7 linked regions of the Callithrix jacchus genome follow. The protein of the gene in region 3 binds, or shares a complex with, the protein of the main gene of each other region. Links are inferred from orthologs where the notes say so. Each region holds a gene or a part of one and is shown on either strand. Other genes may lie near its edges.

The links.
Region 1: LSM8 (region 3) and LSM4 share a complex: the UniProt entries of both Homo sapiens proteins name them as parts of the precatalytic spliceosome. The link is inferred for Callithrix jacchus from reciprocal best matches to the Homo sapiens genes LSM8 and LSM4.
Region 2: LSM8 (region 3) and USP39 share a complex: the UniProt entries of both Homo sapiens proteins name them as parts of the U4/U6-U5 tri-snRNP complex. The link is inferred for Callithrix jacchus from reciprocal best matches to the Homo sapiens genes LSM8 and USP39.
Region 4: LSM8 (region 3) and LSM6 share a complex: the UniProt entries of both Homo sapiens proteins name them as parts of the precatalytic spliceosome. The link is inferred for Callithrix jacchus from reciprocal best matches to the Homo sapiens genes LSM8 and LSM6.
Region 5: LSM8 (region 3) and SNRNP200 share a complex: the UniProt entries of both Homo sapiens proteins name them as parts of the U4/U6-U5 tri-snRNP complex. The link is inferred for Callithrix jacchus from reciprocal best matches to the Homo sapiens genes LSM8 and SNRNP200.
Region 6: LSM8 (region 3) and SNRPD3 share a complex: the UniProt entries of both Homo sapiens proteins name them as parts of the U4/U6-U5 tri-snRNP complex. The link is inferred for Callithrix jacchus from reciprocal best matches to the Homo sapiens genes LSM8 and SNRPD3.
Region 7: LSM8 (region 3) and LSM2 share a complex: the UniProt entries of both Homo sapiens proteins name them as parts of the precatalytic spliceosome. The link is inferred for Callithrix jacchus from reciprocal best matches to the Homo sapiens genes LSM8 and LSM2.

What each region holds. Positions count from the first base shown.
Region 1 is NC_133523.1:17,038,732-17,043,344, forward strand, and holds the start of LSM4 (U6 snRNA-associated Sm-like protein LSm4), read right to left. Parts: upstream 2,903-4,613; 5' UTR 2,841-2,902; coding exon 2,838-2,840; intron 1-2,837. UniProt on the Homo sapiens protein: Plays a role in pre-mRNA splicing as component of the U4/U6-U5 tri-snRNP complex that is involved in spliceosome assembly, and as component of the precatalytic spliceosome (spliceosome B complex).
Region 2 is NC_133515.1:27,393,915-27,397,971, reverse strand, and holds part of USP39 (ubiquitin carboxyl-terminal hydrolase 39), read left to right. Parts: intron 1-1,826; coding exon 1,827-2,052; intron 2,053-4,057.
Region 3 is NC_133512.1:88,804,544-88,808,600, forward strand, and holds part of LSM8 (LSM8 homolog, U6 small nuclear RNA associated), read left to right. Parts: intron 1-643; coding exon 644-684; intron 685-3,223; coding exon 3,224-3,351; intron 3,352-4,057. UniProt on the Homo sapiens protein: Plays a role in pre-mRNA splicing as component of the U4/U6-U5 tri-snRNP complex that is involved in spliceosome assembly, and as component of the precatalytic spliceosome (spliceosome B complex).
Region 4 is NC_133504.1:50,820,333-50,825,022, reverse strand, and holds the start of LSM6 (U6 snRNA-associated Sm-like protein LSm6), read left to right. Parts: upstream 1-1,722; 5' UTR 1,723-2,355; intron 2,356-4,690. UniProt on the Homo sapiens protein: Plays a role in pre-mRNA splicing as component of the U4/U6-U5 tri-snRNP complex that is involved in spliceosome assembly, and as component of the precatalytic spliceosome (spliceosome B complex).
Region 5 is NC_133515.1:6,142,392-6,146,448, forward strand, and holds part of SNRNP200 (U5 small nuclear ribonucleoprotein 200 kDa helicase), read right to left. Parts: intron 2,830-4,057; coding exon 2,731-2,829; intron 2,368-2,730; coding exon 2,215-2,367; intron 2,103-2,214; coding exon 2,003-2,102; intron 1,819-2,002; coding exon 1,682-1,818; intron 1,120-1,681; coding exon 1,036-1,119; intron 936-1,035; coding exon 762-935; intron 170-761; coding exon 32-169; intron 1-31. UniProt on the Homo sapiens protein: Catalyzes the ATP-dependent unwinding of U4/U6 RNA duplices, an essential step in the assembly of a catalytically active spliceosome. Plays a role in pre-mRNA splicing as a core component of precatalytic, catalytic and postcatalytic spliceosomal complexes.
Region 6 is NC_133502.1:195,106,106-195,110,723, reverse strand, and holds the start of SNRPD3 (small nuclear ribonucleoprotein Sm D3), read right to left. Parts: upstream 3,019-4,618; 5' UTR 2,923-3,018; intron 2,737-2,922; exon of another isoform or gene 2,662-2,736; intron 807-2,661; 5' UTR 791-806; coding exon 665-790; intron 1-664. Other genes in the region: protein GUCD1, read left to right, coding at 4,151-4,404. UniProt on the Homo sapiens protein: Plays a role in pre-mRNA splicing as a core component of the spliceosomal U1, U2, U4 and U5 small nuclear ribonucleoproteins (snRNPs), the building blocks of the spliceosome.
Region 7 is NC_133505.1:39,303,647-39,306,774, reverse strand, and holds the end of LSM2 (U6 snRNA-associated Sm-like protein LSm2), read left to right. Parts: intron 1-1,501; coding exon 1,502-1,532; intron 1,533-1,649; coding exon 1,650-1,709; intron 1,710-1,816; coding exon 1,817-1,942; 3' UTR 1,943-2,300; downstream 2,301-3,128. UniProt on the Homo sapiens protein: Plays a role in pre-mRNA splicing as component of the U4/U6-U5 tri-snRNP complex that is involved in spliceosome assembly, and as component of the precatalytic spliceosome (spliceosome B complex).

The sequences.
Region 1 (4,613 bases), on a different chromosome or scaffold from region 3:
GGAGGTGGAGGTTGCAGTGAGCCGAGATTGTGCCACTGCACTTCAGCCTGGGCAACAGAGCGAGACTGTCTCAGAAAATAAATAAAATGAAATAGAAAAAGAAAAAAGTGCCAAGTGTGATGGGAGCGGCCCCATCACCTGGCTCAGGGAAGATCACAAGAAAATTCAGAAAAGAGAATTCCTTTCTCTGCGCTTTCTTGGAACACCTGGAGTCTGGTTCTCAGGTTTAGACCCATGAGGACTAAATCCAGTGGCTCCTAATTCCAGAAGCTTTCCAGGACTGCCCTCCCCGGCTGCTAACCCAGGTCACTCCTAGTCCTACCCTGACCACAGGGAACTGGAAGTGTGTATCCCATGAGGCCTTGTCCATTCTTTTTGTTTTCCCCTGAGACGGAGTTTCACTCTTGTTGCCCAGGCTGGAGTGCAGTGGCACAATCTAGGCTCACTGCAACCTCCACCTCCTGGGTTTAAGTGATTCTCCTACCTCAGTCTCCCAAGTAGCTGGGATTACAAGCATGTAATCCCACCACTCCAGGCTAATTTTGTATTTTTAGTAGAGACGGGGTGTCTCCATGTTGGCCGACCTCAGGTGATCCACCCACCTCGGCATCCCAAAGTGCTAGGATTACAGGCATGAGCCACTCCACCTGGCCCGCCTCGTCCATTCTTGGCCACTCCTCCAGGAAACGCCTGGATAGCCAGGACTTGGGGACTCTGGATGTTCAGAAGGTGGGGACGGGCTGAATGAATGAGTTCTAACTTTGCCCACGCACCGTTCTACACAGTGGGAATAATAGAGGGAAGAAAAATGAAGATCCTGCTTCCATAAAACTTGTCACAGGATGGACCCTTCCAACTCTGCCCTCGGGGACACAGCAGGAGGGGCCGGCTCCCTTCTCTGAATTGTTGCACTTGAAACCGCCTTCGCAACAACTGTACCTGAGGAAATTATGACAGCAAAAAGAGATCAGACCTAAGCAACTCCATCTTGCTTGTAACCTTTAAGCTGTCCTTGCTCTTTCCTGGGCATAGGCCGAACTAACCTTGGGAAGAAATTCAGTCTATAGTTTGACTCTGAGACAAGATTGGTAATAGCTTTTTCCAGAAAACACCCTCTTCTTACCTGGGGACCAGTCAGCCTTTGGAGGACTGACAAGCTGCAAGATTAGAAATTATCGTTTAGGGGTCACGAAGCCTCTGGCTCAAGAGTCTGAACCTCCCCAAATTGCTCCTGGGGATAACATCACTATTATAAAAATCTAAGATCAGTGCTTGAGATATTTTTGCAGACCCTGTACTAGGTGGATCCGCTGACACCACCCAGACGAGTAATGTGGCTCAACCAGTCCCGCAATCCCACCCACGGACAGAATCCCACCCAGGAACAGAAGACAGCAAGAAAATCTCACTTCGACCTCCTCAGGACTCCATCTCCAACCTCAGGAAGCTCCAGCCAATCAGCACCCCCCACTTCCTGAGCCCCTACCGACCAAATCATCTTAAAAACTCGGATCCCCTAGGCTGGGTACAGTGGCTCACCCTGTAATCCCAGAACTTTCAGGAGGCTGAGGTGGGTGGATCACCTGAGTTCAGGAGTTCCAGACCAGCCTGGCCAACATGGTGAAACCCTGTCTCTACTAAAAATACAAAAAAATTGGTCGGACATGGTGTGGTTGACGCCTGTAATCCCAGCTACTCAGGAGGCTGAGGCAGGAGAAAAGCTTGAACTCGGGAGGCAGAGGTTGCAGTGAGCCAAGATTGTGCCACTGCACTCCAGCCTGGGCAACAAGAGTGAAACTCCAGTCTCCTGCAGAGCTGGCTCTGTGTGAATTGCTTTCTCCATTGCAATTCCCCTGTCTTGATAAATCGGCTCTGTCTAGGAAGCAGGCTAAGTGAACCCACTGGGTGGTTACACACTGACCCCAGGATTTAGGGAGCATCTCTTACTAATCCTCAGCTCTGATGCAGCCACCCCTGTGGGTCCCTCCTGGTTACTAAATCTCCCACTGTCTCACAGAGTCTGGAAGTCACATCCCCAACAAAGGCCTAGATTTCTCTCCCTGAAAAAAGAAGCGCCAGATGCTGATGGGCCAGGAAATTCCCAGCTCCGACTTCGTTTTCCGATCTGCACATTGAGGACACGGGCACTTTCTGGCCCAGATCCAGAACTTCCATAATCACAAACATCTGGCCCTGCAGAGACCTGGGCCTCAGTTTTTCCTTCTGTGTATTGGGAGGATGCACTTTATCCACTCCTGCTCAAAATGCCCCCTTCCCCTGGAATGACATGCTATGTGACCCAAGGAGAAAGACCACACCCCAGCACCAGGCCCGATTTTCAGACAGAAAACAACAGGCCTAGGACGCTGTGCTGCGAGCATTTTATGCATCTTGCAAGCTCTGAAATTCCTAAAGCTAAGTTTCACAACTCAGACTGGCCCCCTACTTCCCAGCACTCTAATTTTCAATCTGGGAGGTCTGACCGGGCCCGAAGCGTTCGGGGCCCCTTCCCTGCCCAAAAACTTGCATTTGGCGGGCCCCCACCTTTTTTGACCTCAGTTTCCCCACCTGAGGGGAAAAAATGGGAAAAACTAAGTAAAGCGAGCCCGCTGTACTACGGATACAAGCCCGTGCAACCCTAAATCTCAGACACAGACGTCCTAGAGCCATCTGCAGTCTCCAGCCTCAGTTTCCCAGCCTCGTGCCGGGAGACGGAACGCGAGGCTCTGACTCTACGTTCACCCCGCGCCAACCCAACCGTCAGCGCCCGCCCGGAGGGCTCCCAACGCCTGCGGCTCCCGCCTCCCGATGAGACCCCGCCGTTGCCCTGCCCTCACCATGGTGCCGGCGGGGACCGGGCTCGCCGGCCACTTCCGCCACCGCCGCTGCACACGCTCCCGGCGGTCGTCGCAGCGCCGCGCGCCACTAGGCTGAAAGAAAGTGGCAGACACGCGAGCCAGTCAGCACTGGGCTCGAAGGGCGGCCAACCAATCCACGCGGAACACGGCGGGGCCCTCTGGGCGAAAGGGGCGGGCGGGCCGCGTTCCCGCCGGAGGAACGAGGAATAGAGCCGTAAAGTGTCGCGACTTGTAATGCAAAAGGGGGCGGAGCAACGCGCCCAGGCGCGGGGTGTTTTGTGGGTAAGCGCATGCGCAGGTGAAGCCGTCGGTCTCGGGCTCCACGCTGTGGGCAAAGCCAGTTAATGCCTTTCGTTTGCAGTCTTAGAGACAGCGAGGTCTCGTGGTGATTGGGACGTCCCTCAGGTCGCCCTTCGGACTCCTAGTTTTCTAATTCTGTAATTATCCAGGAACATCATTTAGTGGGTTGGAATCCTGACCACGCCCCTCGGAGCCTCAGTTTGCTGTAAAATGGGTTATAATAGTAGTGTCTGCTCCAAAAGGTTGCTTGCTGTGAGGATGAAATGAGTGAAACTATGTAAAAAGCACTTAAAACAGCGCCTGGCGATCGGGCGCGATGGCTCACGCCTGTAATCCCAGCACTTTGGGAGACCGAGGCGGGTGGATCACGAGGTCAAGAGATCGAGACCATCCTGGTCAACAAGGTGAAACCCCGTCTCTACTGAAAATACAAAAAAAATTAGCTGGGCATGGTGGCGCGTGCCTGTAATCTCAACTACTTGGGAGGCTGAGGCAGGAGAATTGCCTGAACCCAGGAGACGGAGGTTGCCGTGAGCCGAGATCGGCCATTGCACTCCAGCCTGGGTAACAAGAGCGAAACTCCGTCTCAAAAAAAACAAAAAACAAAAAAATAAAATTAGCCGGCAGTGGTGTAATCCCAGAATCGCTTGAACCCAGGAGGCAAAGGATCACGCCATTGTACTCCAGCCTGAACCCAGGAGGCAAAGGATCACGCCATTGTACTCCAGCCTGAGCAACTAGCGAAACTCTGTCTCAAAACAAACAAAAACAGGTCTGGCGCATATTAAGTACTTAACAATATACTTTGTGCCTGCTTCTGCTCACAGAAATGAACAAAACACAAAATTCGTGGCTCTCAGGGAGACAGTAAACAAAGTAAATAGGCAAATGCTGTTGTTTCCTGGGGCTGTAACAAACGCCTGCAAACTGAGAGGTTTAAAACAACAGAACGTGATTTTCTCACAGTTCAGGAGACCAGATTCTGAACTGAGGCTGTCAGTGGAGCTGGCTCGCTCCGGAGGCTCTGTGTGTCCTGTGCCTCTTCCTGGGTTCTGCTGGCTGCTGCCAGTCCTTGGAGTTCCTTGACTTATACATGGAGTCTTCTGCTTTCTGTCTGCCCCTGTCTTCACTTGGCCTTCTCTGTGTCTCTCAGGCTCAAATGTTTCTCTCTTTTCTTTTTTTGGGACAGACAGGGTCTCCATATGTTTGTTCAAGCTAGTCTCAGACTCCTGGGGTCAGGCCATCCTCCCTCCTCTCTGCTTCCCAAAATGCTGGGATTACAGGTCTGAGCCACTGAGCCCAGCCGCTCCTTTTTCTTTTTCTTTCTTTTTTTTTTTTTTGAGACAGAGTTTTGCTCTTGTTACCCAGGCTGGACTGCAATGGCGTGATCTTGGCTCACCGCAACCTCCTCCTCCTGGGTTCAAGCCATTCTGTCTCAGCCTCCCGAGTAGCTGG
Region 2 (4,057 bases), on a different chromosome or scaffold from region 3:
ATTTTTAGTAGAGACATGGTTTTGCCATGTTGGCCAGGCTGACTCAAACTCCTGACCTCAGGCAATCTGCTCTCTTTGACCTCCCAAAATGTTGGGATTACAGGTGTGAGCCACCACGCCTGGCTGTCTCCAGATTTTTTTAATGATCGCCATTCTAACTGGCGTAAGATGGTATCTCAGTGTGGTTTTGATTTGCATTTCTCTAATGACCAGTGATGGTAAGCATTTTTTCATGTTTCTTGGCCTCATATATGTCTTCTTTTGAAAAGTGTCTGTTAATATCCTTTGCCCACTTTTGAATGGGGTTGTTTTTTTCTTGTATATTTGTTTTAGTTCCTTGTAGATTTTGGATATTAGCCCTTTGTCAGAAGGATAGATTGCAAAAATTTTTCCCCATTCTGTTTGTTGCTGATTCATTCTAATGATGGTTTCTTTTGCTGTACAGAAGCTCTGGAGTTTAATTAGATCCCATTTGTCTATCTTAGCTTTTATTGCCATTGTTTTTGGTGTTTTAGTCATGAAGTCCTTGCCTGTTCCTACGTCCTGGATGGTTTTGCCTACAGACCATTTTCTTTTCTTTTTTTTTTTTTTTGAGACTGAGTTTTGCTCTTGGCACCCAGTCTAGAGTGCAGTGGATCTTGGCTCTCTGCAGCCTCTGCCTCCCAGGTTCAAGCGATTCTCCTGCCTCGGCCTCCCAAGTAGCTGGGATTATAGGTGCGTGCCACCATGCCTGGCTAATTTGTATTTTTAGTAGAAACTGGGTTTTACCATGTTGGCCAGGCTGGTCTTGAACTCCTGACCTCAAGTGATTCTTCTGCCTCAGCCTCCCAAAGTGCTGGGATTACAGGCTTCAGCCACCTTGCCTGGCTGACTGTTTTCCATCATAACAGACTATATTTACTTTAAAGAAAAAATTTTGGTGGGGCAGGGTGGCTCAGTCATGACAATTGCTTCAGTCTGGGAGGCGGAGGTTGCAGGGAATCAAGATCTTGCCACTGCACTCCAGCCTGGGGGATAGAGTAAGAATTTGTCTCCAAAAAAAAAAACAAAAAAACTTTCAATAGGTTTTTGGGGAACAGGTGGTGTCTGGTTTCATGTACAAGTTCTTTAGTGGTGATTTCTGAGATTTTGGTCACCCATCACTCGAGCAATGTACACTGTATCCAATGTGTAGTCTTTTATCCCTCACCCCCCCCACCATTTCCCCCAAGTCCCCAAAGTCCATTGTATTATTCTTACACCTTTGCGTCCTCACAGTTCCCTATATTTATTTTATGTACAGTTACATGGTTTTATTATGGGAAAACATCAAATTTTAAGATAATTTTTATATTAGTTTGGAGTTGAGAGATGGGAGAACTGTTTCCTAGATAGTTATCTTTGCTTCAGCCAAAATGGATGATGAAGAAAAGAGTATTTGGATTTTACCCTTCTACCTTATGAATTTGAGTATTGTCACAGCATAATTAGAGTAACAAAAGGAAATTGTTAAATAAATTGATAGAGATTTGAATACATGTGGTTTTTGTTTTGTTTTACCCTTATTATTATCCACATCAGCGAAGTATCTGCAGAACTGTAGTTCTTATGAAACTCAATTTTTTTTTCTTGTTTCCATTATCAAATCAGTGGTATTTCAGACACTCAATGTTAAGGACAGTTCTGTAATGTGAGCCTGGGTAGGATTCTCCAAGGGTCCATTTAAGGCTCTTTAAGGCCATCACAGATAGATCACAGGATTCTATTAGGAGAGCTTTAGCTGGAAGAGCTTGGCTCAAGGGGTCCTACAAAGGGGCTTTGGGTTAATTGGAGTGTTTGATTTTCAGGCTCTATCTAATGTTCCTCCTCTCCGGAACTACTTTCTGGAAGAAGACAACTATAAGAACATCAAGCGTCCTCCAGGGGATATTATGTTCTTGTTGGTCCAGCGTTTTGGAGAGCTGATGAGAAAGCTCTGGAACCCTCGAAATTTCAAGGCACATGTATCTCCCCATGAGATGCTTCAGGCAGTTGTACTTTGCAGTAAGAAGACTTTTCAGATCACTAAACAAGGTAAGGAGCAAGTCATTCATGTTTCCCTTGACTTCAGGACAACAAAACCAGTTTAATGAGCAAATTTATTTCCACATGGCAGTGAATTTTTTTTTAACTCTATCACCCAGGCTGGAGTGCAATGGTGTGGTCTCAGCTCACTACAACCTCTGCCTCCCTGGTTCAAGCGATTCTCCTGCCTCAGTTTCCCAAGTAGCTGGGATTACAGGTGCCCACCACCATGCCCAGCTAATTTTTGTATTTTTAGTAGAGAGGGGAGTTTTACTTTGTTGGCCAGGCTGGTCTCAAACTCCTGACCTCGTGATCCGCCTGCTTTTGCCTCCCAAAGTTCTGGAATTACAGGTGTGAGCCACTGTGCCTGACCTCTAATGAACTATTTTGACTGTTTCTGTCTCTCCAAACCCAATTTGTTATTATCTTATGAGTAAAGTGGACACTGTAACTTTGTACCTGAATCTCATGTGGTATCCTCTAGTGTCCGTATTAGTTTATTCAACATTCAGTCATGGTGCTAGGTTTTAGAGCAGCGATAAGAAACATGATTTTTCCCTTTGAAGAACTTCCAGTCTAGTGGGGAAATTGTTATGTAGAAAGGTTGAGTGTGCTGGCATAAGCCTATGGTCTGAGCTACTTGAGAGGCTGAGGCAGCAGTATTGCCTGAGCCCAGGAGTTCAAGGCCACAGTGAATTATGATCATACCAGTGCACTCTAGCTGGGTAACGGAGCAAAACCCTGTCTTTAAAAATAAATAAGCAAATTTCAACTATCCTTTTTTTAACAAAAGGTAATTATAGGGTGTTATGTGCTGTGCTGTGGGAGGGAGCATGGAACAAGGACCCCCTCAACTGAACATGTAGGAGGTAGATGAGAGGTCAGAGTGGAGGAGGAGAACCCTGAGTTTTAGGTAGAGTTAGAGGCAGGTTGGGGTGGGGGCAGGGCATTCTAGGTAGAGAGGACATGGTGGGCAGAAGTGAAAAGTGCCTGGCATAGACGGACTGCAAGTAACTGGATCCGTGGACTCCAGGGATCAATGGAGAGTTGAGGTGTAGATCTTGAGGGAGGGACCTGATGGCCTGGTTTATAAGCCACCATAAGGAGCTTGGATTATATCCTGATAACAGCTGGGGTCATTTAAGGCTTATTATTATTATTATTTTTTGTGATGGGATGTCCCTCTCTTGCCCAGGCTGGAGTACAGTGGTGTGATCTTGGCTCACTGCAACCTCCGTCTCCTAGATTCAAGAAGTTCTCCTGCCTTAGCCTCCGAGTAGCTGGGACTATAGGCACCTGCCACCACACCAGGCTAGTTTTTTTGTATTTTTAGTAGAGACAGGGTTTAACCACGTTGGCAAGGTTAGTCTCGAACTCCTGACCTCAGGTGATCTGCCCACCTCGGCCTCCCAAAGTGCTGGGATTACAGGTGTGAACCACTGTGCCTGGCCTCACTGAAGGCTTTTAACAAAGGTATGATATCAGAGTTGTTTTTAAAACATTATTCTGGCTGGGCATGGTGTCTCAAACCTATAATCTCAGCACTGCGGGAGGTCGAGGTGGGTGGATTGCTTGAGCCCAGGAGTTAGAGACCATCCTGGGCAACATAGTGAGACTCTGTATCTACAAATAATTTTTTAAAATTAGCCAAGCATGATGTCAGGTACCTGTTGTTCCAGCTACTTGGGAGGCTGAGGTTGGAGGATCGCTTGAGCCTGGGAGGTAGAAGCTGCAGTGAACCATGTTCACACCACTGCACTCCAGCCTGGGCAACAGAGCGAGACCTCCGTCTGTAAAATAAAAACAAAAACATTATTCTGGCTGAGGATTGACTTAGAGGGGATGTTGAGTAGTGACTTTTAAGAGTCTCTGTTACTTAAGGAGAAATAGGGGGAATCAAGGTGGTAAGGAATGGGGCCCATGGAGCACTTATTTTAGGGTTAGTAGGAAATAAGATATACTTTGGGTTGGATAATATATATTGATCAGAAGCCCATGATTTAGTCTCAGCTGA
Region 3 (4,057 bases):
GATGAGAAACTGTAATCTCCTGTAGAGGAAGAGGTGTTCTGATTTTGGGTATTCTCAGCCTTTTTAAGCTGGTTTCTTCCCTTTGTTATAAATTTATCCATCTGTCATCTTTACAATTACTGCCTTTCTAGTTGGGTTTCTGAGTGGACGTCCAGTTTATTGATTCCCACCGCTGGAATCTGAGCAACCCACTGTACCGGCCAAAACAGCGGCATTAAGACTGATGGTGCTCTTCTGCCTGGGAATCTCCTCCCGTTTATTCTGCACGAAGAGCTGCCATGACGAGGCGCCGGCAAAACTGCTGCGCCGGCCACAAGAGTCACGCTGGCGACCCGTAGGGCTCCTTCACTGGGAATCTTCTGGTCCGTGAGTGACGAAAATTCATCTGAAAGTGTGGTGTCCTCTCATTCTCCGTGCTTTCACTGGGAGCTACAATCCTGAGCTGTTAGCGACCAGTCATCTTGGATCTTCCTGCCTTGGCGTCCCAAAAACTTGTAACGTTTTTATGTAGTGAACTTAGTGGCTATGTTGATCACTTTTACCTAATTGTTGTATATCTTCTAATAATTCAAATCATTACCTTGCCAGAGTCTGTTTTCAGATTGTATTCCCTAAGAAACACTTTCCTTGATTCAGTTATCAGGAACTGTTGCTGTTATTACATCTGACGGGAGAATGATTGTGGTAAGTCTTCCAAATTTTCATTCTCTGCTTTCCTGTACGTTTATGGGTTGCAGGTTTTATGTGAAACCTCTGATCTCTAATGCCTAGACGCCACATTACACTGGTAGTGCAGTTTTATTATTTAACTATCACTTTGCTGTCAATCCACATTTTCCTTAGTAAACCTTGTGTCTTACCTACAAGGCTTCTAGGAGCTAGAATAATAGATTCTGCCATCAGAGAGCTCCTAGTCTGCAGACATGTATTAAACCTACTTATCTCCCTCTTCCATTTTTATTTTCTTCCCCATTCAGTACTACATGAATCAGAATTTTTTGAAATTTTGCATACATTTAGGAACTTTTTTGTGATTTAGATACTATTGATACCTACCTATCAACGTTTAAGGCTTGTATGCAATCTTAATACTGTTTGCTTTTAGGTTGTATGACATGTCTTCTATAGGACACTTGATGATTGACTCTCTATATACACATATATATGTTCAATTGGCTTGTTTCTTAAAGTTGTTTCTCCCTTGCTAATTTATGTCATCTAACAAAGATAAAACATTCCTATGGCAATACTTGTATTTGGAATTTCATTTGAGGAATTTATCTCAAGATATTTGGGTGCTTGCTTATTTCTTCACTTACAATTAATACACTTAATTCTTTTGAAAGAATTTTAAGGCTACTAAACTTTCTCTGTTTTCTAACCTTACCTAGTTTCTTAAATAATTTAATCCCCTATTTTTCCATTCTGCAATTTTGTTTTTGTTCATTTTCTTTTTAAGCCTTGCGATTTTTTCCCCTCAGTGGGTCCTTAGTGACTGTTAATAGTCAAGGTTCTAGCTTTGTCATTTACTAAATTTATATCATGTGCCAGGTGCATATGTGCTACATTATTTAATGTACAGCACAACCTTGTGAAGAATAAGTACCCCTCTATTCTAGATTAGGAAACAAGCTCAGAGAAGGTGAGATACTTTCCCAGAGTCACAAGGATAGCAGGTGACAGAACTGAACTGGGATTTAAATTTGGTTTGACATCAAAGCCAAGGCAAATTGCCTGGCTTCTTTCTTAAAATTATATCTGTTAAAATCATGTTTTCTTAGGTGCCTCACATTGTATTTTTTCAAATACGGACAGTTTGACATATTTTAATCGCAACACTTCAAGAAGCCTATTGCTATTAATAGATATTTTCAATTTTTTTAATTTTGTGAAAACCTTAACTTTAAATTTTCTAATTTTTGTTAACATAGTAGATAATAAACTGGGAAATCATTTTTAATTTTAAAAAAGGAAAGCAATATAAAAAGAGCATCTTAAGTTCTAAAGTTCAATAGTTCTTTTTTCTTTGACACATAGTTTATTTGATGGGATAGTTATGTGTAAAATGAAGCCAGGAGGTTATGAATGGGTGTTTATGATAACCATTTGTTAAATAGTTCAAGAAAGACTTCATATTTTCTCTTCCAAATTATAGTTTTCTTTTTATTTCATTCTCATTTTATATATTTTGGTTTTCAGAAGATAAAAGTTTAGTAGCTTGAGAGATTTAACCAATTAAAATCAATGTTAGTTGATACTTCTTCAGAAACTTGGATACCATCTGAGTTAATCTGTTGTGCTAGACCCATGTCTTTTTTTATTCAAAACTAAGCTTTCATAAAACCTTCCCTGATTATTTCCTTCAAATTCTTGTTCTAATTAGTTTAGTCACATTTGTATCTACTGGGAGAATTAAATAATAAATGTATTTGTTATGCATTAAATAATACCTGTGAGACACACAGAACTCTGGTAACTAGTAAGAACTCATTAGGTGTTACCCGTAACTACTAGTTAAATTTTTTATGTATTTATGGGACTGATTTGATTCTCTGAAAAATGGCAAATTATATTTACTTGTGTATAATAGTAGAAGGTAATGGTTTAGTGGTCTGGCTCAGGAGCTAGCCTTTCGTGGTTCATCTCCTGGCTCTGCTACTTACTGCCCATGTGACCATAAGAGACACCACTCTGTGCCTCAGTTTCTTCTTTGAAATGGGAATAATTATAGTATTAAAGGGTAGAGATGAGTTGCGACAATATGTACAATGTGTCTAGCACAATACCTAGTGCTAGTATGTAGTATACAGTGATACTGTTACATTACTGTAGTTGGTATGTATGATTCTTCCTTATTTATATAGAGTTACCTATCATTTTATTTTAAATCTCCTTTGTTTTAGTATATACCTTTGGCTGTCGGACTACATGAGCTTTTATGCTACTTACTTGGAAATACACTAGTACCTAGGTGTCCTTTGTAACTGTCATCAGCTCTGCAAATGAGTGAGATGTGTGGTGCAGATCCCTCCACCCCAGCCAAACAGCCAAGGGGTCAATTTTGTATCCTCGAATACTGTTAGTTATAAAAAAGGCATTTTATTTGACATTGTATAGGTACTTATATTGGAGTAACTAATAACTAAAATGATTGTGAGGTTGAATTTACACTTTCAGGTAAACCAGAATATTTCTCTTTTTCTCCTGGATATTTTCTTTACAGGGAACACTAAAAGGTTTTGACCAGACCATTAATTTGATTTTGGATGAAAGCCATGAACGAGTATTCAGCTCTTCACAGGGAGTAGAGCAAGTAGTACTAGGATTATACATTGTAAGAGGTGACAATGTGTAAGTAAAATATATCTGTTAAAATTATAAATGATACTCCCTTGATTTATGGAGAAGAGGTTTTACCCAGAATAGTCTACTGTATTATCTATACATAGTTAATAGAATCTTGCATTCATTTCTTTTATAAATATGGCTTTTCTTATATTTGCATAAAGTAAGGCAAATCTATACATTTTATGTCAACATTTCTTCAGGTTTCAACCAAAGCTATCTCTACAAATCAAACATTTACCTGAGATTTGCCCATTTTTCCACTAGTTAAATAAGTAGCCTGGATAGAGTCCAGAAAGGGCCCTGCCTTATATTAAATACTTCATTAAAGAGGTTTCTTAAAATGTTCTTAAAAATACCCAGAATTTTAGAGGAACATATTTCTAGAGTCCAAGGCAAAAGTTTGAAAAATGTTTATGAAATCTTTCATTTGAACAATTTTAATACATGCTCAGTCATATAGGTGTATTTATAAACAAGTACTTACCCATTATTTATTTTCTTTTAATTTTTTAGTATATTTGACACACTTAAGATGTCTCTGTGGCCTCAGTTTACTTGGGACAGGCCGTTATAAAAGTTTCAGTGTAGTTGGCTGGGCATGGTGGCTCATGTCTGTAATCCCAGCACTTTGGGAGGACAAAGCAGGCAAATCACCTGAGGTCAGGAGTTTGATCTGACCAACCTGGCCAACGTGGTGAAACGCTGTCTC
Region 4 (4,690 bases), on a different chromosome or scaffold from region 3:
GTGTCAGCATAGGTTTATCAGATCTAACAACTAAACAAAACTAAATTAGGTAAGTTAAACTAAACCACACACATTAAACTAAACCTCTGCTTAAATATTTTTATGACTTTAAGGCTCTTAATAAATTAATGTTTACATTCCGGGTTTGGAAGACTAGTATTTCACAAAAAGTCTTGCAATGTTTTCTTTGCATCAAAAAAGATGCTGAAAGCAAAAACCTGGGAAATATGGAAAATTGCCTTGTGAGTTAGTAAAAGTCAGTTATAAGCTGCTAAGGGGCTTTTTGGAACAGGCACACTTTTTATAAGCTTGTTAGCTCATTAAATAATTCAGGATGCCCACCCCGTATGTCAAGCCGGCCCCATACCCAGCTACTCCCTTTGGAGAAGATTGCAGCTGCTCCTCAGATGAACGAGGCCTTTAAACTCCTCATGGCTCCCTACCCACCACACCAGTGTTAATCGCTCCATCAGGGGTCTGTAGGAAAGGGAAAGAAATTTGAATCAAAAACTTACTGTTTTTTGAATAATTGAAACAACCAGTAGGGAGTGTGCAATTTGATGTCTTTTGCAAAGAATGTTTTTAGGGACAGGGCTTTTTATCCTATCATGTTTGTTCTTTGCAACTAATTATTTAATTTTAATGGCACTTTTCTTAAAATTTTTATTTACATTATATTTTATATTGCAAGAACTTCAAATACAGCCCTCTTAATAAGTCTGTAACGGTTTTGTCTTTACCCAAACTGAGCTTTTGTAGAAGGATATAAGGAAGTCTCTATTCTTTACCAAATCACATCCAGTTGCTTTCTGTCCCTGATACCAAGGGTTCATTTCTTCTGCCTTTAGCCAAAAGAGGGATACAAGGGAGAAACTCTTTATCTTAGAAAAACATTCTGCATCTTAGATTTTATAACACTTAATGGAGTTAAGGATCTGTGTTGGAAGATCTTATCACTTTGTGTATAGTGTTACAAATCATAAATAAAATAAAGTATAAGTTTTCAGCTGATGAAAGTATGTGACAGGGAAAAAGGAACCAAGTCCTGGTGTGACTGTTCTCTTCTTTTTCCTCTCCAATCCTATTAATAGCAAGAGTATTGAGAATTCATGCAAAATTCCAAACCAAGTTCCCACAGGTAGCACTTAGCTAATGTCTGCACACCATTTTCAATTGGAACTAGTTTATAATGTAACACAATTAACGTCATTATAATTCGGAGTTACTTGAGTGGTTTTAATTATTTTCGTATCAATTAACATTGCCATGGAAACAGTCTCTTGCTAAAATGGCTTAAGTCTTCACACATTTAATCAATATCCAGAGGCAGATTTAAAGACTTGAGGTGTTTGTTTTATTTATTTGTTTGCTTTAAACTATTCAAGGACGTTTCTGGGTACACACGGCAGTTACTTAAAACTGTAAATTCCAGTTTTCTATGACTTCAAGTTATTTTTTACACTGCAAATAAATCCTGCCCAAAAGATCACTTCTAGCTTTCTGGATTTTTGTTTTTGTTTTGTATTGAATTGTATTTGTGTTGTATCCGGATTTCTGTTAGAGGAATTCCTTTGCACCAATTTCGCCACTGGACAAACCAACCAGGATTCTTGGATTTGAGCGCTTTGGCGCGGACCGGCCTTTTCGGCCCCAGCGGGCTGCCGTAGCAGAGAAGAACACTGATTGGCTGAGGCAGAAAAGTACCGCTGCCTCGCCGGTTTCGGTTTCGATTCGATGAAGTCCGCGGAGCCCGGGCTCTTGGGGCACCTGTAGTGAGGATTTTGGATCCCGCCGACGAGGTGAGCCGCGTGGCTGCGCGAGCCGAGCAGCCTCGGAAACGGCCTGCGGGGAGCGGGCTGGGGCTCCGGGGAGGGACTGCTGGGTGGTGGGTCCCCGCGAAATGCCGCTTCCAAGCTCTGTGTGCACGTAATGGCCGGGAGTGATCTGTTGGTGGGCGCCTGGAACCGCCGTCAGCGAGGCGTCTACACTGCGCCGAGAGGAGCGGCACCGTCCCGGCTGGCGTCGATTTGGCGTTCGAGACTGCACGAAGTTGTTCGGAGGTTATCGAAATTCCCCAAGGGAACCCCAGCGCTAATCCCAGGATTCGGCGGGAAAGCGGATCCCGAATCTAGGCCTAGGCTTTGCCTGGATTCTTCCAGGCTTCAGAGAATTGCGAAGCCTACCCTACATCGGAGTGGCTGCGCCTAACCACAGGAATTAAGGACTGGACTAACCTGAATTACCGAGTTGTCTAGTCGGGGAACCCCTTGTATGGTCTTAAGTCCTATCGCCAGAGGTTTTCTATGTGTCCGCGTTTGTGCCCCGGCGCGTGAATAGCGGGCATTTTTGTTTAAGGTGTGTAGGATTAGGATGATTGGAATTACCCCACCCTACTGCTCTTAGTAATACGTGACTGTTGTAGAAAAATTGCAAACATAGAAGACTTTAGTGAAGAAAATAATATTCGCTGAACCCTTTCACCTGCCATCTTTTTCTCCTGTATGTACCAGCGTCTACTTGGACTAGGACTGTTCATGTTTAATTACTTAACAGTGTAGTTTTCCAGTTCCATTTAAAAACTCTTCCTAAATATTATTCTAATTTTGTATCTTCTTTTGAGTGGCTGGCCCATCATTGTGGATCCCAGTGTAGGTCCCATAAATTATTCAGTCATTTCCCGACTGTGGGACATTTGGTTGTTTTTGAATTTTTGCATCATCTTAGCATCCCAGATCATATTTTGATAAACATTTCCCCCCCATCCTGTAGATTATTTCCTTGGACTAGATTCTCAGAAGTGAAATTATCAGATAGATGCTGTCATCCATAAGGTCTTTAGGCTTTCATGCACATTGCTGCAGTGTTTTCCAAAAAAGTTTTAGAGGTGGTTGGCAGTTTTACTTGCTTGAATATTGTGCAGAAATCTTGAGAGGCTTATGTCTGTAGTGTGTATCACTGGAGTTAACTGCAGTAGACTGCCTGAATGTTAGAGCAGGAAGAGACCTAAGTGGTCATCTAGCAAAGCCCCCTTATTTTGCAGATGAGGAACCTGGGGCCATGAGAGGTGAGATGAGTTATCCAAGTCACACAGCCAATTAAGTAGCAGAGCTGGGATTAGAACTGAGGTTTCCTGCCTCCCAAGTGAGTACTCTGTGCTGCATCAGGCAGCCTCTCACTGAACTGTGGCATAGTAGATATTAGAATTTAAAAATATGTTTACATCACTTGGATTATTCTCTTTTTTAAAAGTGTACTAACAGATTTTAATCATCAGAGGGATCTTTAGTACTGAAAAATTGTAAAGTGATCATTTTCATGGCCAAGGCTAGAAATCCGTTATTTAGAATGGCAACCCCTTCAAGGCTTTGACAGTTGTTTTCAGATTCTCTATATGTTAGAATAAAAAAAAAATCCCTGATAAATTATAATCTACACTCCATCATTTGGTTAGATGTAGGTGTTGGTTCTCATTTGCTATATTTGGGAGATTTCTTTAAAACTCCTCACTTTAAGGCCAAAGAACAATGTTGCTGGTTTTTAAATTTTTTTTATTTTAGGGCTTATAGCAGAGATTCTCAACTTCCATGGACTTTTTGGCCTGGACGCATTTGTTGTGGAGGGCCGTCCTGTGCATTGTAAAATGTTTAGCAGCATCCCTGGTCTGTACTCACTAGTATAGTAGTAGCACCACCTTCCTCAGTCATGAGAGTTCATGGTGTCCCCAGATATTTCCAGCTGTCCCTGAGCATGGTGGGGGAGGACAGGGGGGATTGCCCCTAGTTGAGAACCATTTGCTTATAGAAATTATCTGGAGAACTTTATAATGTAATGTATAGTGCCTTTGCCTCAGTAGATTCAGGAATTTGCATTTTAACAAGCATCTCTAGATTTGGATACAGCTGGTTCTTGAATGACAGAAACAGTTGTTTTCTCCGTCTTTGGTGCTCATTATAGAGATTACTTGATTAGTATTTGTTGAAGTACACACTTGATATTACTAGTCACTGTACCCATAGTTTGGGCTGGTGGGGGCTGGACAGGAATTTTGCTTGACACTGGCTTTGAATGTCACTTCCACAGACTTGGACAGTATGCTTAGATACCAGGGTTACCAAGTGAGTGAGATATTTTCCCTGTCCCCAAGAAGCTTAAAATTCACTGTGGGAGATCAGTCAGCAAATGGAAACATTACAAAACGGCCTGATAAGGGCCACGACTGAGAGTGGAAAGAGGTGCTTTCAGTGGACTAACTTCGCCTTTGGAAGAGAGGGAGAGAAGAGGCCCCAGCTGCTCGGGAAGGAGGGATTGTCTTCAAAAGACAGCCCGGCTCTCCACTGTGTCAGAGGGAGGAATTTAGAGAGCTGTCCTCGGTGTCTGATTGCCTCGTCAGACACTGCTATCTTAGTATCACGCTGCAATTACTTGGGTTCTAATGTTGTTTCCTTGCAATTTTTGCTTTTCAATTTTTTCCACGCTAAACTGTTAAGTACTCTAGAGTAGGTAAAAACTTACAGGTAAACATTGCCAAGAAATAAGGGTTTTCATCTCTTCTACTCGGCGGCATAACTTAGATCACATTAGATGCATTTCTTTGTGTTTGGCCATTACATTTCTTTGAGGCTAATTTCTAGTACTTTGTCATGTTAGGTATTTTTTTTTCCCAGCGAAAGTACTCTCCAATTAGGTTTTT
Region 5 (4,057 bases), on a different chromosome or scaffold from region 3:
TAAGAAAAAAAGCAGGTGGTGTGGCGCTTACAGTAGGAGCACACAGCAGCAGATTCTCATCTGTCTCAAGGGCAGCACGGTAGAGCTTACTCTGGATCCGATTCAGTGTTTTGAAGCCCTCAAACCCAGCCTGGGCATACTTTGGCAGCTTTTCCACTGGAAGCAGTTGCTAGAAGGAAAGAAGTGCCATTGATATCATGTTGGCAGCATCCTTGAGCAGATGTTTTTGTGGGATTGCCAGGATTTTGTTCCCAGGCAATCTCTTTGCATAACTCTCCATTAAAGGTCAGACCAAGGCCGGGCATGGTGGCTCAAGCCTGTAATCCCAGCACTTTGGGAGGCCGAGGCGGATGGATCACAAGGTCAAGAGATTGAGACCATCCTGGTCAACATGGTGAAACCCGGTCTCTACTAAAAATACAAAAAATGAGCTGGGCATGGTGGCGTGTGCCTGTAATCCCAGCTACTCAGTAGGCTGAGGCAGGAGAATTGCCTGAACCCATGAGGCGGAGGTTGTAGTGAGCCAAGATCACACCATTGCACTCCAGCCTGGGTAATGAGAGCGAAACTCCATCTCAAAAAAAAAAAAAAAAAAAGGTCAGACCAGATGTCAATTTTGTCACCCCAGGCTCAAAATCAGAATGGAAAAATTCTGTTGCAGCTTTCAGTCTTGAAATAAACTATATAAGAGACAAGGCTACATTCTGGTCAATGGTTGAAATCCAAACCAGGAAGTGAACTGAAGAAAGCAATGCACTTACTTCTTCTGAGCCAAAGGGCTTGGGCTTCAGGGCAGGCACATGCACTTCTTCATAGCCCTTACGCTGGCGACGGAAGGATCCATCAGGAAGCTGACAGCGTTTATTGGCCATAAAGTGGCTCCCTTGGGTAAAAACCAGGTCCTCCAAGTCCAGAACCTGTCGTGGAGCCAGTGCCTGGGAATGTGAAAGACAAAAATGCAAAGGAGGTGAGCAAGCTGAGCAAGTGAGTTTTCCATCCATCGAGATCTGGGAAATAAATCGCCCTGGATCCTACCTCTCCACCCTGGTCAAGATCCATGGTTTCCAGATCTGTGTCCATTCGAGACTGTCGCACTCGCTCTCTCCGAGACCTTTCCTCCTGTGGTGGAGAAAGATAAAAATCACAGAAACAATTCATCAGTATCATAGATTCTTGTCCTTTTCTGTCCCTGCTTAGCCATACTTGAGTCACAGGTGCTGACTAGTAAGTCTGCAAACAGAAAGACAACGCTTTACCTGGGGACCACCAGAGTGATCAAAGCAAACAAACACATTTAAAGGGACAATGCACAGTAAGATGTTGCCAGAAATAGACATTCTATAATTAAGAATTGAGGCTGCCCCTGAGGGGTAGAAACGTGGGTTCTGTTGAGCAAGCACATGTATTCTGTTACTCTATTTAGTAAACACCACGTGTTTACTGTGTAAATAAACAATAAAGGTCCTCTTGGTGCTGGTGAAAGACAGCAGCAGATCACTGCTCTCACAACCAAACCAACTGAGGATATGCTGATTTTAACGTGTATGTACTGATAAACCCCAAATAATTTAGAAAAATCACTTTTTCAACTTCCACTTTTAATACGAATTTAGCTTCATGCTGCAATCTTCTAGCCACTGTTAGCTGAGAAATCAGACAGATAAACCAACCCAATCCTTACTCGGATCAGATCCTCCTTCTCTGTTTCGTGAAGTTGGTAGAGGAACTTAGACAGCTCTGGGTCAGCTTCCATCTTTCCCATGATCCTTTCCTTTTCAGCTTCACTTTGTGCACTGGCCAGTAAGGTACAGTATAAAACTACCCGCAACAAAAGGAAGAAAGGAACAGTGAGGAGGAAGAAATGCAAAAATCAACCTTCATTCTTAAGGTAGAAGAAGAAAAATAAAAGAAACAAGCACAAAAGCTGTGAAAACAAGAATCTCTGTCTCACATATGCACACATATGTACCTACTCTGCAGGAAGAGCCGATCATATACTCACTCATCATCCTGTGCTGCCGCAGCACTTTAATGAAATCAAAGGTGTTGAAACCAAGCAGCAGTACCAGCTGGTTCTCACACTCCCGATCATCACTGGCCGTCTGCAGAGAGAAGGTAACACCACCATTAAGGACAAAGCCATCTGCCACTTCATACGCTGTCCCCATGTGCTAAGACATAGTAAACATACAACTATTGTTATCTTGGCCATACCTTCAAAATCTCCAGTACTTCATCTGCCTTCTTCTGTGACACGATGGCATCATCATAGAAACGACTGAGCTGCCGCTGTAGCCAAAATGCATCAATATCCCGAGGGTGCAAATCCTTCTTCTTGGAACTCATCAGTTCACCTGAGGCTACGAGCTATATAAGTAAGTAGGCATTTAGCTCACTAAGTCTCTGCCAGCCTCGATCACTTTCCCACCACCCTGCATCCAAGTTCTTCTTGCCACCCTACAAGCCCACCTTCTTTTGAGGACTTTCCAGAAGGAAACACTCTGGAATATTGAGTTCAGAAGCACATCAGACCAAGATTTTATCAACATACATATTTGGGAAGGAAGAAAACCAACTGAAATCTTAAGAAACTCTAGACATTGTTTATTACACGTCAGTCTAGCAAAAGGTGGCTCAATAAATGCAATAGGACCCAAGCATGAAGCAGAAGTACTAACACTCAGAAGTAACCTGGCCTTGCAGCAATAAGAAAGAGCAAATTGAACTTACATTAGCTGAGAGGGTGCAGCGTACAACAGCCTCGTCCCCTTCCATGTCATCATCAGATGCCTCCTCTCGGACCTCCCCGTACACATCTTCATCACCTTCCTGTGGAAATGGCCCCAACTCAACCATGATCTGGAGCTGATTCTGCATCACCACAGAACCTCTCCTTCAAGTTACCCTAAATTAGCTCGATAGTTAGAGAAATGGCTTTGGGGTGAAACCAAGAGCCTACTGGAACCAAGGTCAGCCTTATCCCAGTGGACACACAATAGAATGGCTGCTTGGCACAGACTTATTAGATGCATCTACTTTCTATTTCTTACCTTAGGCTGCTACAATGGCAATCAAATGGATCATAGCCTCTCTCTGACACACACAATCAATACTCAAAACCAGCAAATAACTAACGAGAGAGAAGAGCTCTACAGAGGCATGCCTGGGAAAGCAGATGGTGACTAGGAATGAAGAGACCACACTTAGCCCGCTCACCACTCTATTCACTCATATGCTGCAGTAGGCATATTTGGCACAGTGTCACAGTCAAAGCAGGTACTTCAATAATGAGCACTGTTACATGAATGAACTGCTAAATGCAAAGCAGTTCGGTGCTACTTAAAATCCTCAAATCCTATTAACTACACTGTAGGAAGAGGCCTAGCAATCACCTAATGAAATCGCCTCATTTTATAGAAGGAGAAACTGAGGCAAGACGACCTGCCAAGATATAGGACTAAAATTCAGAAGTCTTGGCTCCTAGTCCAGTGCTTTCCTCTGACTCTCCCTGTGCGATCCCTTCTTCCAGCCCTGGTATATAGTCCAGGCTTCATTTTCTCTTTCAGGAGCCAAATCTACCGAGAACTCCAAGGCACTCCGTAATGTTTTCAAAGCACCCCACTTATTCCTATTTAGTTATATTCAAGAAATTCTATTAGACGGTAGGTATTAACCCCAGTGACTTAAACAACCATGTATGGGCTGGGCGTGGTGGCTCACGCCTATAATCCCTGAACTCTGGGAGGCCGAGGCAGGTGGATCATGAGGTCAGGAGTTTGAGACCAGCCTGGCCAAAATAGTGAAACCACATCTCCACTAAAAACACAAAAATTAGCCAGGCGTGGTGGTGGGCACCTGTAATCCCAGCTACTCGGGAGGTTGAGGCAGGAGAATCACTTGAACCCAGGAGGTGGAGATTGCAGTGAGCAGAGTTGTGCCATTGCACTCCAGCCCAGGCAACAGTCCAAGACTCCATCTCAAAAAAAAAAAAAACAACACCATGTATGAACTATGTCCATGCTCTAAGGCAAATGTGCAATCTTTTGAAACAGCGGGA
Region 6 (4,618 bases), on a different chromosome or scaffold from region 3:
AAAAAAAAAAAAAAATTCAGATGACTATGCAAAAGGCCAAGTTGTGCCATGAGAAGGACACCATATCAGGAAACTACTCCATTATTTATTATCAGTGATGAGTCCTTTAATCTCACTCTCCCTATTTTATGGATGTCAAGACTATCACCAAACCTGCTTACCTCACAAGGTAGTTGCAATAATCAAATGAGATTCTCCCTCCAAGAGAAAAGGGAAACAAATACAGTATGGGAGAAGATTCTGCTAACCACAAGGCAAGTGAAGGCAAATGGATAATGGCTCTGAATCTGAAGAATTCTACTGAAGTAGCACTTCCCTCAAATAGGCCCCCAACTCTGGGGATGGAAAAAACAAAAAGGACAAAGTAAAATATTCCAAACCTCCAATGGCTTTCCTGCCTCAAGACTGTGCCTTGTTCATGCCCACATTCCCAGAGCCTGTAACAACAGTGCCTGGCATGCATTAGGCACTCAGAAAATCATTGCTGAAAAATAACAACAACAAAATAATAAGAAAAATAAAAATAATAAAAAACAAACAAACAAAAGAAAATCATTGCTGAATGAGAACAATTTTTTTTCAAAGACCCCCAACCCACACCTTTCCGTTCCTCTGAGACACAGGTCCATTCCTCCCACATAGCCTCATGTGCAAAGCAGGATACCTGGCAGTTCATGTTGTCCTCTGCCTCAATGAGCTTCCCACGATATACCTCGCCGGTGTTCGTTTCGCATGTCACAATGTGTCCCTCGGCCTCATGCAGTACTTTAATCGGCACACCAATAGACATCTTGGCAGGAAGAGTTCTAATGAGAGAGGCAACAGTCAGTTCATCATTCAGAGACTGAGAAGGCATGCAGCACATACTGTGCTTCCTTCAAGGCCTAGCCCTCCATAAAACTTAGCAAAAATGCCAAAACTGAATTTTTTTTTTTTTTTGAGCCAGAGTCTCTCTCTGTTGCCAAGGCTGGAGTGCAGTGGCACAATCTAGGCTTACCACAACCTCTGCCTCAAGGGTTCAAGAGATTCTCCTGCCCCACCAAGTCAGGCTACTTTTTTAGTATGGGGTTTCACCGTGTTAGCCAGGATGGTCTCAATCTCCTGATCTCGTGATCCACCCATCTTGGTCTCCCAAGTGTTGGGATTACAGGCGTGAGCATTGCGCCCGGCCCAAAGCTACATTTTCTACAAAAACAAAAACAAAATAAAATAAAACAAAACAAAAACAACTCAGCTCCTGGCTTGGAGGAAACTATCTGGCAAATATGTGCAAGATGTGGGGTGAGAAGGAATGGTGGGCTGGACAGAGATAAAAATAGAAATGAAAAGAGAGCCTCTCCCATCAACCACATGTCCCTACTACCCTATGTCCCTTAATCTTCATCTAAATGACCATTAGCGAATACTGTTCGTGTTGCGGAGTGGGGGTTAGAATGTTATTTGTTGCATTGTTATTGTCAACCGTAATTGTACATGATTACATTTTGAAAATTATATAGGCCTGAGCTGTCCAATACAGCTCATGTCCACATGTAGCTATTTAAATTAAACTTACTTAAAACAAAATAAAATTAAAATAAAAAACCCAGTCTCAATCCCAGTGGCCATATTCCAAGTGCTCAATGGCCATATGTAGCTAGTGGCTCCCCTATGGAAGGTGCAGATACAGACCAAAGGACCCATGAACACCTAGGAGAGGGGGCTGCACTTTTAATTCAGCCCTTTAACCCCTCACTTACTTTACCATCAAAGATGAGGAAATATCAAAGTGACAATATGCTCTATTCAGGAAATGCTTGTCATGGAGGAAAATCAGGGAAATCACCTGATTTGACCTAATTAAAAGAATCAAGCAGCCAGGCGTGGTAGCTCAAGCCTGTAATCCCAGCACTTTGGAGGCCAAGGCGAGCGGATCACCTGAGGTCGGGAGTTCAAGACCAGCCTGACCAACATGGTGAAAGCCCGTCTTTAAAAAAAAAAAAGAATCAAGCAGTGAACTTTTTATTGAGATAAGCAACGACTCAAAGTTGGAACGTAAGTGCACTTAACAGAGGAGAACGTGAGGTTGAAGAAACAGGTTCCTTTGGTGAGGATCCCTTGCTTTCAGCTTTAGGAGTCTACATTTTATACTGAAAATAGTGGGGAACCACTGCACGATTTTAAGTAAAGAATGACGTAATGAAAAAAGCAGCAGCACTGCCGGGCGCAGTGGCTCACACCTGTAATCCTAGCACTTTGGGAGGCTGAGGCGGGCGGATCACCTGAGGTCAGGAGTTCAAGACCAGCCTGACCAATATGGTGAAAACCCGTCTTTAAAAGAAAAAAAATTTTTTTTGAATAAAAAAAAAAAGTGGCAGCATTTATTTATAAAATGGATAGAATGTAAGGTTTAGAAGCAGAGAAACTTGTTAAAACTTCTGCAACAGTGTGGAAACCATGAGGGGACCACTACCTGAAAGGGGGCTGGAGGCAGAGATGCAAGTAACTTTTAAAAGAATGATCGGCCGGGCGCGGTGGCTCACACCTATAATCCCACCACTTTGGAAGGCCGAGGCCGGTAGATCCCTTGAGCCCAGGAGTTCAAGACTAGTAAGGGCGACATGGTGAAACCCATCACTACTCCAAAACAAAAAGAAAAAATAAACAGAAAAAAGCACTCACAGGATTTGGGGAAAGGAGACAGTCAACCAGAAATGACTTCAAGATTACTGCCTGGAAGCTCTGAAAAACACTGACCTGGAGAGATACAAAAAGTGAAAGCATGCACGCTGAAGCTAATGAACTTACTTCTAGGCGCTAGTGAGGCGATGCTCGCTGATGTCTGGGTGGCCCAAGCTTCCCGCTTTCTTCCCTCCCCGAGCCCCGCAGAGTTCCATGCAGCGAGTGGCCCCTCGACCCCCCCTTGCCCGTCCCCAGCCTCACCAGCTCCGGCCTCCTTCTCCTCTTCGGTGCGGCGGCAAATGAGTCTACGGCTAAGGCGTGAGTTCAGCGAATGGCGGGCCCAGCTCCCAGAATTCCAATCGTTCCCAAAATGCAGCGCGCAGGGCCCACCTCCTTCCTTTCCCCATTGGTAAGTGCGGTCTCGTCTCCGCTTCCTCTTCGCTGCGCCCGCCGGCTGGGAAACTAGGGCACCGCTACGATAGTTCCGGCACCAGAAGAGACGGCTGATAACTGGGCCCGAGGGCCGCCGGAAACAACGACCCTTGGGCCGGCAACGAGCCGCAGAGGGTGCTCGCACTTCCAAGCACCCCACACCAAGGACAGGCTGGACTGCAAGGCGGAAACCCGGGGCCTGGGCCGTCAGACCCGGGGCCTGGGCCGTCAGACCCGGGGCAGCAGGAGGTTGGGCCAAGGGCCAGGACTTCCCCCTCACAATTTAATTTTTTGATCCCGGCACCGCTAGGTAAGGGGCGCCCTGAGCGGGGCGAGGTATCTCGTACGGATAAAATTAGGTATAGAGTAGGGCGGCGGCCGGCTCAGGATCATCCCTAAAGGCAGTTGAAAGAGAGTTGTGGCCGGGCGCGGTGGCTCATGCCTATAATCTCAGCACTTTGGGAGGCCGAGGCGGGTGGATCACGAGGTCAAGAGATCGAGACCATCCTGGTCACCATGGTGAAACCCCGTCTCTATTAAAAATACAAAAAATTAGCTGGGCATGGTGGTGTGTGCCTGTAATCCCAGGTTCTCGGGAGGCTGAGGCAGGAGAATTGCATGAACCCAGGAGGCGGAGGTTGCGGTGAGCCGAGATCGCGCCATTGCACTCCAGCCTGGGTAACAAGAGCGAAACTCCGTCTCAAAAAATAAAATAAAATAAAAATAAAAAAATAAAAAGAGAGTTGTTTGGCGCTTCGGCAATGCATTGGGCGGGACCGGTGCTTACACCTAAGGCTGCAAAGGAGCGGGTCACGGCAGAGGCGGAGTTTGCTGAAGAGACGAACCTCTAGGAAGCATCTGCACTAAGTGCACGAGCTTCGGGGCGGGCCTCAAGGAAAGGGGTGGGGCTTCCGGGGCCCGTGTCCTGGTGGGCAGCGCGTCTACGCGAGGATTGGGCGACGGGGCGGGGCCACCCGACGCAGAAGCGGCAAATGGCCGGGGCGGGCTTAAATCGAGAGACTGGGGGCGTCTAGAATCAAAGTTTGGGGCGGGGCTTATGGAAGGGGCGGGGCCTTTAGATTCGCGAACTAGAAGGGCCGGGGCGGGCCTTGGGGAGGCCCAGCCGCCGCCTCCAGTTCTCCCCACCGCATCGGCGGCGGTGGCGGCGGAGGAACTGGAGACGCACCGGCCGCCCTCCCGCCCCAGCCGAAGCGGAAGCTGTAGCCCGCTCTGGGCTGGGGCCATGGGCGCCCCGCGCCGCCCGGGTCATGAGGACGGAGGCGGAGGCAGCGGGGCCACCGCTCGAGCCCGGTCAGTGCCTCTCTGTGGGCCCAGTCCTCACCCTGGGAACGAGGGGGACTCCGCCCTAGTGCGGGGCAGGGTCCCGCCTCGCCCCCACACCCTTCTCGCTCCAGTCAGTGGGGGTTTCCCTACACTCGCAGGATTGCGACCCTTGTCAGCATGGTGGGAGGGTCCGGGTAGCAGGGGCGCCACCTTCCCCAGAAGCGAAAAGTCCTGCTGGAGC
Region 7 (3,128 bases), on a different chromosome or scaffold from region 3:
CTCCTGAGTAGCTGGGATTATAGGCACGCGCCACCATGCCCAGCTAATTTTTTGTATTTTTAGTAGAGACGGAGTTTCACCATGTTGACCAGGATGGTCTTGATCTCTTGACCTCGTGACCCACCCGCCTCGGCCTCCCAAAGTGCTGGGATTACAGGCATGAACCATCGCGCCCAGCTCAATACTTTGAGAATTTTTACAAAACTTAGGGTCCGGCAGAGAACTGCTAACTTTATTTTTGGCAAGATAAGGACTTTTTAAAACAGCTATTTATTATGATTATTTTATAACTTCAAAATAGAGATGAGGTATTGCTATGTTGCCCAGGCACTGCTATTTTGTCCGGGCTGGCCTCAAGTGATCCTCCTGCCTCAGCCTCCCGAAGTGCTGGGATTACAGATGTGAGCCACTGCACCCAGCCAAAGGCTGTTTCTTAAATTTTTGCACCATTCTCCCAAAGAGCACTGGTGTTTTGATACCATTACTCAAATAGCATCTCAAGGGGCTTGAGGATTGGAGAATGGAGAGGATATCACTTGTGCCTGCATCATCAAGAGTAATGCTACCTTCCTACCTTTATCTACATATGGGACTCTGGTTCCAAAGCAATAAATGTTTGAAAATAGCTAGCCTGGGCAACATTCACCATGAGACCCTTTCTCTACAAAAAAAAAAAAAAAAAAAAAAAAAATCAGCTGGGCATGGGGGCACATGCCTGTCATCACAACAGCTGCTCAAGTGGCTGCAGTGAGCATGATCATGCCATTGCACTCCAGCCTGGGCCATAGAGTGAGATCCTGTCTCAAAAAAAAAACAAAAAAAACTGTTGATGATGTTGGGAGTCAGACAGACTTGGACTGAAGTTCCTGTTTGTTCTAAACTCAGGTTTAAAACTTCTCTGAGCCCATGGAAGGTAATAACTACTTCAAAAGATGGCTATAAAGATAACAGAATACAGGTCTAGTCTTTACCAGTTGTTTAATGGTAGCTATTAAGAATAGGTTGGTTTGGCCGGGCACAGTGGCTCACACCTGTAATCCCAGCACTTTGGGAGGCTAAGATAGGCAGATTGCCTGAGGTCAGGAGTTATAGACCAGCCTGGCCAACATGGTGAAACCTCACTTCTACTAAAAATAAAAGACTAGCCAGGCATGATGGCGCACACCTGAAGTCCTAGCTACTCAGGAGGCTGAGGCAAGAGAATCATTTGAACCTGGAAGACAGAGGTTGCAGTGAGCAGAGATAGTGGCACTGCATAGAGTGAGAGTCCATCTAAAAAAAAAAGAATGGTTTAAGGAGAGGAGATGTGGGGTTGAAATTAAACCACTCTGTAGCCATCTTTCCTACTCCAGGCTTAGGAATGTCCCCTTTTGGTTCTACCTTTTCTGACTTCCTCAAGTCCTTGCCTTTTCCCAATCATATTCTCATCCCAGCTCTGAAGTCACCTTTATGTTGACTTTGTTATAAACTAATTTGTTTTTTCTCTCTCTGCCCTTGACAGCATCTGTGGAACCCTCCATTCTGTGGATCAGGTGAGATATAGCAAGGGCCCAGAATTGGTTCCTGGGGAAGGAGAGGGGAGAGCTTAAGGGTTGGGTACTTACATCATATCTCTAGGGTTAATAATGGTGTTCGTATTCCTTTCTTAGTATCTCAACATCAAACTAACTGACATCAGTGTTACAGACCCTGAGAAATATCCTCACATGGTGAGTTGGGGTCTATGGAGAAGAGGAAACACCTCTAAAGCAGGAGGCTCCTGGGTGGTTAGAGGACATTTTTAAGGGTGTTTTCACATTTGTCCATCTTTGTCTAGTTATCAGTGAAGAATTGTTTCATTCGGGGTTCAGTGGTCCGCTACGTGCAGTTGCCAGCAGACGAGGTCGACACACAGTTGCTGCAGGATGCGGCAAGGAAGGAAGCCCTGCAGCAGAAACAGTGATAGCTCCTCCTCCTCTTCCCCTCCCTCTTGCATTGGTGACCCAGAACCCCAAGTCCCAGCCAAGAACCCCTAACTCCCAATACTTAAGGGTTTTTGTTTGTTTGTTTTTTACTAATGATGATTTTGTGGGTTTTTTAAAGGGATGAGTGGATGAGAGGAATAATAGGGAACAGCTCTCCTCTGTTGAGAAGGGGAGGATGAGTAGGCTGGGAAACTTCAAAGCCTTCCCAGTCCCCAGCACCAGCCTTTCTTACTATTTCCCTGGAGATGGTGGGAGAGTTTCCTAAGTATTTCCAGGGCATTCATTTAGGGATGGAAGGAATCTGTCCCGCATCGGGAATAAAATTTATGATGCAAATTCGTGTTCTGGTTTTGTACTACGTTTGGGGCTGGGTGCTGGGTGGTGGAAAAGGATGTTGAATTCATCCAGGCCCTTGTTACTCTCTGTTAACCCAGCCAAGAATCCAACTCAGCTTCCCACTACTCTCCGTGGTATAAAGCGTATAATAACAATTGCACTACACCACGTTTCTCCCAACATGCCTCTGTCTGCATGTTCTCCCTTCGGCGTTTTGCTTATACCATACTGGCAACTGGAGTGCTTGCTGTCTTTCCATTAATGTGACAATGTTATAAGATGCATTTCATGCTACCGGACTTTGACAATCCAACCAAATCAGTACATGTTTTTTGAATATCTATAGAAGATAAATACAGACGGAACATAATTTATATGTTGGAGAAAAGTTATGACTGGCAATTACTAAACTTCATTCACTCATTCAGCAAATATGAGTTGTGATACAGATGAGACTTCTCAGCATTAAGGGACCCTTAGAGACCATCTAGTGTGACCCTCTTTTTTTTTTTTTTTTTAAACAGCCTTGCTCTGTCGCCCAGGGTGGAGTGCAGTAGTGCAGTCTGGCTCACTGCAGCCTCCTCCCTGATTCAAGCACTTCTGCCTCAGCTTCCAAGTAGCTGGGATTACAGGCGCCCACCCACCAGGCCTGGCTAATTTTTGTATTTATTTATTATTTCGAGGTGGAGTCTCACTTTGTCAGCCAGGCTGGAGTGCAGTGGTGTGATCTCAGCTCATTGCAGTCTCTGCCTCCCAGGTTCAAGTGATTCTCTTGCTTCAGCCTCCCAAGTAGCTGGGATTGTGGGTGTATGCCACCACACCCGGCTA